Linked DNA regions of Sus scrofa. The protein of the gene in region 2 interacts with the protein of the main gene of each other region in a pairwise test. Links are inferred from orthologs where the notes say so. Each region holds a gene or a part of one and is shown on either strand. Other genes may lie near its edges.

The links.
Region 1: the proteins of CAMK2B (region 2) and ACOT7 interact in binary tests that used the Homo sapiens proteins (3 or more experiments, as listed by UniProt). The two-hybrid records come from large-scale screens. The link is inferred for Sus scrofa from reciprocal best matches to the Homo sapiens genes CAMK2B and ACOT7.

The regions. Positions count from the first base shown.
Region 1 is NC_010448.4:67,211,205-67,218,484, forward strand, and holds part of ACOT7 (cytosolic acyl coenzyme A thioester hydrolase), read right to left. Parts: intron 3,954-7,280; coding exon 3,797-3,953; intron 1-3,796. UniProt on the Homo sapiens protein: Catalyzes the hydrolysis of acyl-CoAs into free fatty acids and coenzyme A (CoASH), regulating their respective intracellular levels.
Region 2 is NC_010460.4:50,947,041-50,954,320, reverse strand, and holds part of CAMK2B (calcium/calmodulin-dependent protein kinase type II subunit beta), read right to left. Parts: intron 6,979-7,280; coding exon 6,930-6,978; intron 5,596-6,929; coding exon 5,482-5,595; intron 5,152-5,481; coding exon 5,071-5,151; intron 4,279-5,070; coding exon 4,165-4,278; intron 1-4,164. UniProt on the Homo sapiens protein: Calcium/calmodulin-dependent protein kinase that functions autonomously after Ca(2+)/calmodulin-binding and autophosphorylation, and is involved in dendritic spine and synapse formation, neuronal plasticity and regulation of sarcoplasmic reticulum Ca(2+) transport in skeletal muscle.

The sequences.
Region 1 (7,280 bases), on a different chromosome or scaffold from region 2:
TGAAAACCCCAGGCCAAGAGCTCCCAGAGCTGGCTTGGTCACCCCTCATTTGCACAGGAGGCCCCGACGTCCAGAAAGTTCAGGAGTCTGCCTAGGCGACACGGCAACTCAGCGCCACTCTGAGTAGAACCTGGGCCTCCCAGTAACGTCACAGACGTATTTGCCGGGATTCCTCTTATTTTATTTTACTGGCCGCACTCATGGCAGGCGGAAGTTCCTGGGCCAGGGATTGAACCCACGCCACAGCAGTGACAAGGCCGGATCCTTAAGCCCTGAGCCAGCAGGGAACTCAAGCCAGGATGCCCTTTAAAAGCTGCCTCTTCCGCAGGGAGGATTCTCGATGTAGAGAAGGGCAGAACTGGGAAGACAGGAAGCAGAGAAGCGGGGAGCAGGCCCGGCACTCACCCCAAAGTCCCCCGGTAACTCACTTCCTAGGGGCTCCCTCTGACCTGCCTTCCCAAGGCACAGCTGGGGCTTCGGTCCCCCCATAAACGTAGCCCCAAGGCCCAAGCCAAGCCCCGGCGGGTCAATCAGAAGGCAGTGAGGCCCCTGGTGCCCAGGCCCGCTCCTCACACCAGGACGCGCACCGCTCGGCCCGGGCTCTCGGCACCCCTGGGACCATGAGCCGATAAGATGGAAAAATATCTTCTCTGCACTTTGACTGAGAGTGGATCTGACAACCTGCTTTGGGGAATAAAGATTTCCTGTTTGACTCCGCGAGCGCCGGCCCAGCAGAGCTGGTTTCCATGGAAACCCCGAGTGGCCCGCCTCCAGACCTAAATGCACAAACGAGGCAAAACACGCTAATTGTACTTTATCATTTAATAAAACCATCAAAAGACAACGGCGGCACTAAAAACATCTATTCTAAAATCTGAAGCGCTCCCAGCTATTTTCTGGAGTGATTCGCAGCAATCATGTCCCAGTTAGCTTAATATTTTGACAGTTGCCGCTGATGGATGAGGAAGCTTTGCTGGTTGTCTGCCTGGGCGCGCGCTCGCCCCGCCGCCTCCCGACAGGCGCCCAGAGCCGGGGGGACGGCACCTGGCCTCTTCGGGTCGCGGGACACAGGGAGGCACACGAGGCTCTGCTTGGTCCCGGTGTGTCCGCCAGCCCGTGCTCACCGAGTGCCCGCGGGGGACGAGTCGGGGACAATCTGGATGAGGCGGCCACAGGCCCTACCCTCACAGGGCTCACATCCCAGTGCACATGGCAGAGACCCAACAAGACCGGAAGGCTGCCACACATGCGGGCCCAGAACAAGAGAGACGCACACGGACCCAAACACGGAAGACACGAGATGCACAGACACGAGGCTGAGACCCAGGCAGGCCGCCCGGACATGAGAACAGCAGGGGTGCCCGGCCAAGGGGCAGGACGGCCCAGACTGTAGAAGAGCCACAGCCCCAGCTCCAAGGCTCTGTCCCCACCCCGAGACCCGGCCTTGGCGTTCTCCCTCGACCCCAGGCGTCCCATCTCAAAAGGCTAGGCCCGTCCCTGCCTTCTCAGAGCCTCTGTCCTCAGGTGCGCAATGCCCACCCGCTGTCCCGCGAGGGTGGATGCCTGCGGCTCTACCCCTCATGGCCACTTCTCTCCTCCGGGTAGCCCAGGCTCTCTGAACCCCTGGCCCTTCAGGGCCAGGGGGGCCGGGGACACAGGGCAGGGTGGGTGGAGAGCATCCTGACCTTGGTGGAGCATAGTTCTGGGCCAGCGCTGCCCCCCAACCCTCTCCTGACCCCTCCTGTCCCCTCCTGACCCTCCCACCCCTCCTGCTCTCTACCCTCTCCTGTCCCCTCTGTCCCCACCCTCTCCTGCCCCCCACCCTCTCCTGCCCCCCAACCTTCTCCTGCCCACCCCTGTCCCCCTCGCCCTCTTCTGCCCCCTCCCGCCCAGCTCTGCCCCATGGCAGCCAGAATCCCGCAGGAAGTCCTTCTAACAAAGCCCTCTGTGAGCTGCCCTCCCAGTGCAGAGACCCAGATCTTCCTGACTCACCTCCCCCTTCATTCACTCACTCATCAATTATTGATTCCGCCTCTGTCGTGAGCCGACGGCAGCTGCGGGGAAGAGGGAGATGTGACCTTTCCCTCAGGAGCCAGGAGCCAGGGTCCAGGGCCGGCCTCCGCAGCCTCACTACTCAGACGGCGGGGGCCCATCAGGCTGTGGGGCCCCCAAGCACTGTAGGGTGTGCAGCAGTGTCCCAGGCCTCCACCCCGACTGTGACAACCAAAGATCTCCCCTTGCAAACACCTCTGGTGGAAGGAGCCACGACCCTGGGGACCCCTGCCCCACTGCAGTAGCTCTGGTCCCTGTCCCCTCGGCTCTCGTTCCCACTTGCACACAGCATGACGCTGTTCTGTTCATGGGGGTTCCTCCCGGGCTGTGGCCTGATGAGCCAGAAAGGGGGCTTGGGGGATGGGAATCTGTAAAGCAGGCCCCTCCCCCACTTTTGAAGTCAATGGCTCTCTGACCCTGGACAATACAAAAACAATCCTGCTTGGAGTTCCCTGCTGGCCTAAAGGTTAAGGATACAGTGCTGTCACTGCTATGGCTCAGGTGTGATCCCTGATCCCGGAACTTCCAAAAGCCAGTGGTGTGGCCACAAAAAAAACAACCCACCAAAAACAATGCTGTTGAAGACGCTATCAACAAATAAGCCTAAAGTTCAAGAAAAGCAGCGAGCATAGCCGTTCCCCTCTCATGACAGGCATAGGGAGGCTAAACCCCCAGCACAGCCCAGGAGAAAGGGTTGGTCACCCCCGGGGCACACCGCTGGGGCCAGCGCCACAGTGGGAAGTCAGGGCCCGAGCACCCCTTTCTGTGGCACTGCCTAAGACCGGCATCCAAGGTCCCTCTGATGCCACAGCTGCCCTCTGAACACAGGGCTTGGGCCACCAACGCAGAACACGGGCCACGAGCCCGTTGACCGCTCCCCACGCCAGGGCCTGGCTCAGCAAAATAGTTCCCCGAGCACTGGCAGGGGTGCTGTCATCACTGGAATGTTCCAGATGAATAATTGAGCTTCTTCCTTGTGGGGGGACAAGCCTGGGGCCCCCTAAAGATCCCCGTGCACAGCACTCTGCAGGCAGACACGGCCCAGGAGGGGCCGGAGAAGAAGGTGCAAGAACCCAGGCAGCTTCTCCCTCCAGAACGGGCCCCGACTCTCCTCCGGGTGGCCTGCGACAAGGAGGTAGGCAATGAGGGGACCAAGAGGCCTGCCTCCCCCATCAGCAGCTGGGTTATAAAAAGCAGCGAGTGTGAACCGGAGCCACCCTCCCCTGCAGCGCCCAGTGGGAGGATGAAAAGGGGTTTCCATGGTTACCACCGGAGGAAGAGAAGATTCAGATCAAACCAGAGTCAAAGGTTCACCCAGCAAGCGCCAGCCTAGGCCTGGCTCCCGGGGCCCAGGGGGGCAGAAAGCAGCCAGGCCAGTGTCCTCCAAGGGGCAGCAGTGTCCCCAAGCGGGGATGGGCAAGTGGGGGAGGGGGGCAGGCAGGGGGGCCACAGGATGGCATGTGCCCTCCCAGGCCACTCCCAGCTCTCCCCCCTAGTCCTGCTGGGGGTTGGGGGGGTGGGTCACACGCTGGGCACGCGAGCGGGGGCTCGCTGCCTAACTCGTCTGTGCTCCCGTTTCCCCGTCCTAAAAACAGGACAGCAGAGGTTCCTGCTCCCAGGTGGAGGTGGGAACTCAGGGAGGTCATCCCTGGCCACGCAGGAGCTGTCAGCGAGCTGTCACGGCTGCGTCCATGCCGCTGTCGCCACTGCTCCCGGCCCCGCCCGCGGCCGGCGTGCGGGTTACCTGTGAGGATGTTCTCGGACATGACGTGGACCTGGACCTCCACGGAGTGCTTGGACGTGTAGGTGATCTCCGCGCTGACGTGCGCCACCTCGCCGATGCACATGGGCGACAGGAAGTCGGTGCGCTCGACCCGGGCCAGGGCGGCCACGCAGCGCTCCTGGAAAGACCAGAGGCGGGTCAGCCAACCGTGAGCCGCTCCCCCCACCCCCCCCGGACACGCTCCCCCCAGGTTTCGTATCCACTGTTGGAGTAACAGCTTTTTTTTTTTTTCCTGTCTTTTTTTGGCCATTTCTAGGGCCGCTCCCACAGCGAGGGGTCCAATCAGAGCTGCAGCTGCCGGCCTACACCACAGCCACAGCAGCACGGTATCCGAGCTGCATCTGCGACCTACACCACGGCTCACGGCAACGCCGGATCCTTAACCCACTGAGCAAGGGCAGGGATCGAACCTGCAACCTCTTGGTTCCTAGTCAGATTCGTTAACCACTGCGCCACGACGGGAACTCCTGGAGTAACAGCTTTTTATGCCCACACGTCATGGCCATCACAGGTTCCTAAACGCAGAGCCCAGGGGCGGAGCCCAAGGGCCACACAGGGGATGCTCTGGCTGGCAGGGTTCCAAGCGGCTCTTTTGTTCTCCTACACGAGACGTGTGACTTGCTCATGAAAAGTGGAAACGTGCACACACTCGCTCCGGAAAACCACGGAAGAGCACACAAAGGAGGAAAAACACCTCTCCTATCCAGAGATAAACACGGTTTGGTTTCTCTTTGGGGATCTTTCTTTCCAGGCTTTTTGCCCTAAGAAGAGAGGTTTCACTGGTTTACCTGTTTGCCTACCTGGCTCCTTGTTTTAGTCGTTTGTGGTCCTTACTCACAGTCCTACATAGTCTTATATTGTTGTCACTTATAGTCATACATGTAATTGTCACATAGAGTCTTACACCAGTTGGGCAAAACCTAAGTATACATTTTCACAACCATTTTTACTCAACGGGAAGATAAATAACCTGCCCATCTTATGACAAAGCCCTTACCAATCACAGTCCCTTTATTTACATTTTATTTATCCTTATAACAGCAACCCAAATTACCTCATGACTCAAAATTCAAAAGGAACAATAGGGCTACACCTGAAAGTGACACAACCTTGTAAATTAACAATACTCCAATAGAAAACAAAATTAAAAAAAAAAAAAAAGCAACAAAAAGGTATACACCCTGGGCCACCCAGGACTCCCGGTTACTGCAAGACACAGCCAGTCAGCACAGGTGCACACCAGGTCCAGCCAAACCCACTCAGGAGCTCATTCTGCATGAACGCGAGGAAGAATGAACTTCCTCCACTTTTTTTTTTTTTTGCTTTTTAGGGCTCCACCTGCAGCATATGGAAGTATTCTGGCTAGGGGCCACCTCAGAGCCACAGCTGCTGGCCTACGCCACAACTCACAGCAACGCTAGGTCCTTTAACCCACTGAGCGAGCCCCGGGATGGCGCCCGCATCCTCATGGCTACTATAATTGGGTTCATTACCACAGAGCCACACTGGAAACTTCCTCTTGACACTTTCTCCGACGGCCATTTCACTGCACTCCATCGCAAACCCGTTTAACAGCCGGATAGAACAGTCTCCTGTTAGACTGGGGCCAACCCCAACTGTTTCCCATTTAAAGAACTGGACGAGCCCCCTTTCATTCACAGTCTTTACAGAATCACGATTGGTTCTTGGGTGGAAGGGACAACCACCTCACTTCCCAAAGTGCTTCTCAATAGGGCAGAGTGCTTGCGGGCCCAGCACCTCCCCGCGCCAGCACTGAAAATCAGCTTTTTCTTTCTTTTTCCTTTTAGGGCCACACCCACAGCATATGGAATTCCCAGGCTAGGGGTGGAATCAGAGCTGTAGCTGCCGGCCTACACCACAGCCATAGCAATGCCAGATCCGAGTCACATCTGAGACCCACACCTCAGCTCACGGCAACGCCGGATCCTTAACCCACTGAACAAGGCCAGGGATAGAACCCACGTCCTCACGGATCCTAGTTGGGTTCGTTACCACTGAGTCACAACGGGAATTCCAAAAGTCAGCTTTTTTATTTAAGTGTAGTTTTTATCGAGGCAACGCTGGTGTCTAACTCTGTGTTAAAAGTGTCATGTGTTATTTCTACCTCTGTGTGCCCTGCTGCACGCTCACCACCAAAACCAGTTTTCACTGGTCACCACACAGTCGGCCCCTTTACCCAGTCTGCCTCTGTGCCCCACCCCCCTTCCCCCCTGGTGACCGCTGCTCTGTTCCCTGTATCGACGTTTTTGTTTGGCTTGTTCTTTTATTTCATTTTATTATTATTTTTGTCTTTTTAGGGACACACCCACAGTCTATGGAGGTTCCCAGGCTAGGGGTTGAATCGGAGCTGCAGCTGCCAGCCTACACCACAGCCACAGCAACACCAGATCCAAGCCGTGTCTGCGACCTACACCACAGCTTATGGCAACGCCAGATCCTTAACTCCTTGAGGGAGGCCAGGGATGGAACCTGCGTCCTTATGGATCCCAGTCAGATTCATTTCTGCTGAGCCATGAAGGGAATTCCCTATTTTATTTTGGTTGTGCCTGCGGCAAGTGGAAATTCTCGGGCCAGGAAATCAAACCCAGCCACAGCAGTGACAATGCCGGATCTTTAACCCACTGCACCACTAGGGAACTCATTTAAAATCATAAGCCATTTGTTTTTCTCCGTCTGACTTATTTCACTTAGTATAATACCCATTTTGTCACAAATGGCAAGATTTCATCTTGCTTATGGCTGAATAATATTCCAACGTGTGTCTACATACCACCTCTTCTCTATCCATTCATCCATCAGTGGACACTTGGGTGACTCCATGTCTGGGCTATTGTAAATAGTGCTGCCGTGAATGTAAGGGTGCAGATGTCACTTCAAATCAGTGTTCTTATTTTCTTTAAACACACAGAAGTGGAGCAGCTGGCTCATAGGGTAGTTCTACTCTTAATTTGGTTGGGGAACCTCCATGCTCTCTTCCACAGTAGCTGCATCGCTATACATTGCCATCCGCAGCATACGAGGGGTTCCTTCTCCCCACATCCTTGTCAATACTTGTTTCTTTTTTTTTTTTTTTGTCTTTTTTCCATTTCTAGGGCCGCTTCTGTGGCATATGGAGGTTCCCAGGCTAGGGGTCTAATAGGAGCTGTAGCCGCTGGCCTACACCACAGCCACAGCGACTCGGGATCCGAGCTGCGTCTGCGACCTACACCACAGCTCACGGCAACGCCGGATCCTTAACCCACTGAGCAAGGCCAGGGATTGAACCCACCACCTCATCCTAGTCAGATTCGTTAACCACTGCGCCACAACGGGAACTGTTTCTTCTTTTTGATAATAGCCATGCTGGCAGGTGTGAGGCACTGTCTCATTGTGCTGTAATTTGCATTTGCCTGATGATGGGTGATGCTGAGCATCTTTTCATGTG
Region 2 (7,280 bases):
CCTTTGGTCTCTTTCACTGCAATTTATTTTCATGCACAGCATTTTAAACACATGGAAAAAGCAGAATACTACAACCCACGCCCTACTGATTCAAATCTGAACAATTTTCCTATTTGCTTTAGATTTTTTTTTTTTTCTTTTTAGGGCCACGCCCGTGGCACATGGAGGTTCCCAGGCTAGGGGTCTAATCAGAGCCTCAGCTGCCGGCCTACGCCACAGCCACAGCAACGTGGGATCCAAGCCATGTCTGCGACCTGCACCACAGGTCACGGCAATGCTGGATCCTTCGCCCACTGAGCAAGGCCAGGGATCAAACCCACAACCTCATGGCTCCTAGGGAGATTCATTTCCACTGCGCCACGATGGGAACGCCTAGATTTCTTTTGAAGAAATGAAACCTTCCAGATACAGATGCAGAGGCCTGTGCTCCCCTCAATCCTGCTCGTCACCCGCTCTCCCCAGAGTTCCGCCCCGAGTCAGGTGCGCAACCACTTCCACGCAGATACATCCACACCCGCACAGACACAGACACACCCACGCTGGCTGACGCCGTAAAGCAGGAACCTGCCGGAGGTAAACCTCAGACCCAAGGAGGGCCCTGAGAGCATGATCTCAGGAGCTCTCTGCTCACACTTCCCTCCCGGTCACGGCTCCACGGCTGCATGCGTCTGTGCACCCTCAGCCCCCACACCCGTGTCCCTCGCTGCCAGCAGCACACTGGGACCACAGGCTTTCTGCACGGCCACTCCTGGGCGATGGGCATCCTCACACAGCCAAGCCCAGTGATGGGTGACTGCAGGTCTCCAGTGCCAGCTGCCAGCTGGGAACAGCACGTGTGGGAATTGATCTGGGGCTAAAGTCCCAGAGCGCAGGGGCCAGCTCCAAATGCGTGCATATAGCATTTGGAAGCATGTGCCCAGGGCCCGTGGTGGGGCCGCAGGTTCCCATCACTTGCCCAGGCGCCCACCTCGTGGGGCAGACAGAGTCCACGGCAGAAGACACTGCGTGCTGTGTGCAAGCCCAGGCGTGCCTGTGTGTGAGCTGGGAGCCTGGGTTGTGCTGCACTGGCTCTGGACAGTGACTGGGGATTGAGCTCCATGATGCCTGAGGGGCTGAGAGTGTGTGTGTGTGTGTGTGTGCGCGCGCACGCGTGTGCATACCCACCCCGCAAACTCACATAGGCTTCCCCTATCTTGAAGAGACCCTCTCTCTGGACCCGGCTGTGCTTCTGCTGGCATCCTTTTCCCATTTCTCACTGAACCTCACACCTGGACCACATCGGGGTTTGGGCTTAGGGCCATCTCTGCAGCACCCAGGCCCCACCTATGCGGGTGGCCCCTGGAAGCTGGCTTCCAGGAGGGGAAGCTGCAGGCCCAGGTTCCCAGATGCCTCATGTCCACCTGCAGAGCTTCATGCAGGGACAGAGCTCTGTCCAGACACACGGACACACACAGGCTGGCTGTTCTCACTCTCTACTTCACAGCTCCGCCTCCACACCTGCCCCTGGACTGAGTTCTTCCCCCTCGGCTTCCTCTGCAGCCTGCCCACCTCGCCACCCTCTGCCCGCACGCTTCCCAGTTTTGAATGGCCCCCTCTCCTCCGGGACCTCACCCACCCCCATCCTCTCTGCACCTGTCACCTTCGCGGAGGTGACTTCCATCTCCTCCCACTGCAGCCCAGCTCCCCCACCAAATGCTGTCCAGAGAATCAGGTCCCTTGGGCTCATTCCAAGGCAGCCTCCAGCCCCTGCCACTCCCATCCCTGTCCAGGCGGCCTGTCACCCGTGGGCCCTTGCCACCTACCTCCTGTGGCACCAGGTCCAGCTTCTGCTCAGGGCCCCCACCTTCTACCTGGGGTTTACTCCTCAGCTCCGGGCCATCCTGCTGATGTCACCCGGAGGTCATCTACCCACCCTGACACCCGTCAATCCCCCTTCTTCACAGACGTGGGGACCTGTCCCCAGCCTACGCAAGTCCTCGGCAGACAGCCTTGCAGCTGGAACGGAGTGACATTTTTTCTGTTTTGTTTTCAGCCCACTCTGATTTCACAGTTAACCCTACCGTGGTAAGTGACCCACACCTTCCACTTAATAAAGTCATATTGAGCGTTTTTAAACAAAGTGTAATTGAAGATGGAGACAGCGTACAGAGGAAGGATTAAGCACACCAGAGACATCCCGGTCACAGCACACAGGCAGAGTCTGAAGTCTGGGAAAGAGCCACCACGTCCATTCTGCAGATGGGAAAGTGGAGGCCATACAGGCCTAGTCACAGCCCAGGACTGGGCCGGGCGCTCCTGATCCCTGGAGCAGCTATGGGTCAGGCCGAACCCCACCCCGCCCCCCACAGCAAAGCTACGCCAAGGGAGGCCCCAGGGGGGGTGAGGCCTGTTAGCATGAGGACAAGCTGCTGCCACCAGGCAACTCCAGGAACAGAGCCAAGGTTCACAGGTACGGTTCTGGCTTGGGAGGAGCCCCCACAGCCGCTCTCTCGGGGCAAGCTAACAGGCCAGGGAGGCCCAGCCGCGGGCAAAGGGTTTGGGGTGTGGGGGAGCCCCAGTGACCCCTGGGTGACCTCAAGGCCTGTCCCTTGGCAGCTACAGGGGCACAGGGATGCCCCCAACCACCCCAGAGGCACTTGCACAGGATCAGCCTGGATTGTGCATAATCCGATTATAGAGAACACAGGCCCATTTAGACATGGCGACAGCTGGCAGGGACATTCACCAAAAAGGGGGCTGCCCGTGACCCACCCCAGCGACGGCCCTCCCTCTGCGGTCTGGGTCTCAGTGCTGGGAGAGGTGGACCCGGGTCCTGGAGGTGGAGAGGGGCACCCCGGCTCTGGCACTCACACTCTCAGCCAGAGCTCACCCCCAAATGGGCTGGCCCCACCCACACCCCCTCCCCTGAGGCCCCTCCAACACACACACACACACACACACACACACACTCAAGGGCTGGGGATGCTGGGAACTCTGGGCTGGGGGCGCACATCTAGCACAAGGACCCCACTCCCTGAGAGACACGGATGGGGGCCACCCCCTTCCCTCGCTGCCCCCCCCACTCTGAGTCTGCTCTCAGCCCCCGCCCCTGCACGCTGCCACATCCAGGCCCCTAGGCCCCTCTTTCAATCCTGTCACAGCGCCTTCTGTGGCCCCCACCTTCCCGAGTCAAGCTCAGGACAGACCCCTAAAGGGGCGAACCTGTGAGTGTGACACCCTGGTCCTCGGGAACCTGCTTCCTGTGCAGCGGGCCCCCCACCCAACCGGGCAAGCCCGGTTCTCAGAGCTCCCCGCCTGGGCTGTGTGTACCCCAGGGGCAGGTCACAGCCCTGGGCCGGGGTCCCGTTGCAGGCGGCCCCCTCGGGCACCACCCTCCCCAACTCCTAAGCTCAGCTTTCTCATCTGTGAAACTGGGGGCTGTGACGGTCCGTCCAGGAGACATCTCTGGTAAGACGCTGCCAAATGGGGAGGGGGCTCTGACCACTCCCCCAGGCTCCGCTCCCCTTAGCCACGCCTGGATGCTGGCTGCAGATGCTGGCTGCAGACCCCGACCCCGACCCCGACCCCACTGCTGCCAGGTCTCCCTCCCCTTCCGCTCTGCCTGGCCCCCAGGCCTGGCCCAGACTCACCCAGCCTCTCCCCCGCCATGCCCGGCCCCCGGCCCCGCAGCCTCTCCTCTGAGAGCGCCGTGTCTCCCCGGAGGCGGGGGTGGCGGCCGCCCTGGGGTGTCATCCATCCCTGTAAGTGATACCGGCAGGCAGTCGGCAGACCGGCTGCAGCGCCCGGCGGCTCCTCCCCACCTGGGGAGGCGGCCCAGCTCAGCGCCAGCCCCGCAGCCCCGGCCGGCCCCTGGGCCCCGAGAAGGCCTTTCTCTTCCTTGCCCCCCAGAGAACTGCCCCTCCACACTCAGATGCCACCCCAGCTGGTACTTGCCCCATCATCGCTACAGAAGACCCCGCAGGCAGCAGGAGTGTGACGCCCTGGTCCTCGGGAACCTGCTTCCTGGTTCTTCCCACACCTGCGCCCCTTGTCCCCCCGCCCCCCCCACACACACACAGGCTGGCCCCTTCCCGGGGCCAAGGGGCAGCACACGGCAGCTGGGGGTCTTGACACCCCGGTGAGCCCCCCGGGGCAGCCAGCAGGGCCACTCAAGGTGCTACTTACTCGGGGTGGGTGGGGGGCCTGGGAGAGCCGGAGACGGGCAGGGTGGGGGGCCCTGGGCTTCTGGGGTCCCCGAACCCCTCCTCACCGTGTTCAGGATGTTAGAGATCCTGGGGGCTGGGGCGGAACAGACGAGACGTGAACACGAGGCAGGCGGGGGACACGCAGGAGAGAAAACCTACGGGCTGATGAGCCAAGCCAGAGAGAGTGGGGGGACGGAGGGGGTCAAGAGGGAGCATGGGGGTGGCGGGAGACAGAGGGGGATGGAGAAGGGACACACAGGTGCAGTGGAATGGGGGGACAGGGCCGACAGAAGGGCGGGGAAGACCGGGGGGAGGCTCCAGGGACGTTCAGGCAGAGGCACCTGTCTGACCAGGTGAGGGTACGGGAAGCTGCTGTGGCAGAGGGTGCCCTCCTAGGAAGGGCAGCCTGGCCCAGGAGAGGCCAGAGGAGCTCGCCTGGGGCAGTGCTCCATTGGGCCCTCTGAGACTCATTTCTGCAGGAAGGCCAGGCCCTTTCTCCTCCCTTTAAACCCACAGTCCTGGGGTTGGGAGGGATTTCTGGAATAGCTCCTGGTGCCTGGGGTCCCTGGGGTCCTGGCTGGGCACCAGGTGTGGGGCCCACACCAAGTGGGGTCACAGCACACGGCCTCAGAGGGGCCCAGCCAGCTGCCCCGGGTCAGGGAGACCCTCTGGGGGAGAAGCTTGGGGCCAGACAGCAGTGCAGGGGGAGGGGGAGGAGCCGTGGGGGGGGCGCCTGGCAGAGTTAGCGCGTGTGCCCGCCCCAATGCCCAGCCAGGCTGGGACAGTTAGCGCCTGGCAGCCTGGCCCGGGGGCAGCTGAGGCCGTGCATGGCAGGAGGCAGGGAGCCACTCGGCAGCAGAGGCAGCAGGCCTGGGACACTACTTACATGGGGTGGGCAGGGGGCCCTCGGCTTCCGGGGTCCCCGAGCCCCTCCTCACGGAGCTCAGGAGGTCAGAGATCCGGGGGGCTGGGGTGGACAGGAGGCAGACGCGTGAGGACGCGGCAGGGAGAGGCTGGAGGAGAGGGAGCAGGGCCTCCCGCTCTCTCCCGCCCCCGGGGCCTGGCTCAGCACTAAGGAGCCTGGTCCTGAGACCCGGCGGCCCCACAGGCCAGGGGGGATCCCCACACAGAGGCGGGCTTGAGGGGCAGAGGCCTGGGGAGCCTCAGTGTGGGGGCTGTGGGGGCTGTGTGGGCGCCCAAGCCCAGCTGGCCCTTGGCTCTCGAGGGTCCCCTCTGAGAGGGGCCACAGGCCCTTCTAGGAGACCCCCACAGCTACAACAGGGGCCCGGCTACTTACATGGGGTGGGTAGGGGGCTAATGGGAGCCGGAGACAGGCAGGGCGGGGGGCCCTCGACGTCTGGGGTCCCCGAGCCCCTCCTCACGGAGCTCAGGATGTCGGGGACCCTGGGGGCTGGGTGAGACGAGACGTGAACACGAGGCAGGTGAAGACACGCAGGAGAGAAGGGGGCCGTGCAGGAGCAGGACGAGGGGGTTAAGGAGGAGACCCACGCGGTGGGTCCTGGGGAGCCGTCAGCCGGGGAGCCCAGGGCTGAGCTGTCCCAGCAGGTGTGTGAGGCAGACGCACGACTGTGCGGGGCTGGACTCGGGCCTCCAGGGGAGGGGAGTGGGCTGTGTCCAGCCCAGACCTGGACCCACTGGGGCGTCTCTGCATCTGACAGGTGACACAGCTGAGGTGAGAGACCCCCAGGGCCCTGCCCCTCAGGACGCGGGTGCCTGCGCTGCCTCATGAGGCCCTTGGGGCATCTGGCCAGCCTTTCCCCGCCAGACGAAGGGTTGGGACGAGGCTGGCCGGGCTGGCCCTCTCCCCTACGTTCCTGCAGGTTTGGCTGTTTCCCGCTGGGGGCAGTGGCAGCACCGCCAGGGCAGAGCCTGAGGAGGTCCAGGTGAGCTCCAGCGATGGCCAGGGGCCTGTGGTCTGGGGAAACTACGCGAACGTCCACTCTCCCTGCATCCAGAGGCCAAAGCCTTGTGCTCACTTCCACTCTGGAGTGGGGGGTGGGGTGCTCAGTGCAAGGTCACCGCATCCCCCAAACGGGCAGAGTGGCCGCCCTCGGGCCCAGAGGCAGTCCTGAGGGTGCTCAGCCCTCACCTACCTAGGTGTGTGGCCGAGAGGGTCACGCAGCCCCCTGGCGTGGGAGCGGGCGGCCTGGGTGGAATGGGCACCAGAGCCCCTCCCTGGGGTGGCTGGGTGAGCCCAGAGCAGAAGAGGTGGGCCTGGGTGAGCACTCAGTGTCTGGCACCCTAGGGCTCTTGTCGGGCACAGCCTGAGCCCTGGCCCAGCTCGCCCGGGAGCTCTGCGCGTGGGTTGAAGCATGCGTCTCAGCAACCCCTCCCCCAGCGAGCTCAGAAACGCCCCTGGCTGCCCAGCCACTGATCAACCACCAGCCAGGCAGGGACAGGTTTAAGGACCTTTGAGAGAAGAAGCTGCATATTCACCCAGGAACCCATCCGCCACGAGAACCGGGAGCACGGCCCCCGGAGCAATGGCAGGTCCGGTGCAGTGTCCTCACCAGTCACCATGCCCAGGTCCCATCCAGCTCTGCTTGGACGCTATGCCCAAGACTGCCTGGCGCCGGTCACCCAGGCTCCGGGGGGGCCTGTGGCCCTGAGCAGGGCCAGCCCCGCGGGACACACCCGCGGTGCCAGCTGCGGCCTGATTCTCTGCCGGCTCCCCGCCCCCCAGTGGCCACCCCGCCGGCCGCCGCAGGCAGGGAGCTCAGGTACCTTTTGTGTCTTCATCCTCTATGGTGGTGTGGGTGCTGTCAGATGACTCCTGGGGAGACACGGGGAGGCAGCCAGTGAGGGCGTGGCCTCTGCCCCTACAGGGCCTGGACCCCGGCCCCAGAAACCCACACTGGCTTCACGCTGGCCCCAGGGGTCACCGATCCCCAGGCGGGGCCACCCATGTCCCCAACAGCCAAGGACCCCAAGGTCCCTTCTCCCAACAAGACACGCCCAGTGGAAGGACTCCTTGCGCTCGGACGACTCTCTTTAACAGGAAAAAACAAAAACAAAACCGGGCTTTCTGAAATTCCAAGGCTCCTGGTAAAGCAGAAAGGCATCCAAACGCAGCCT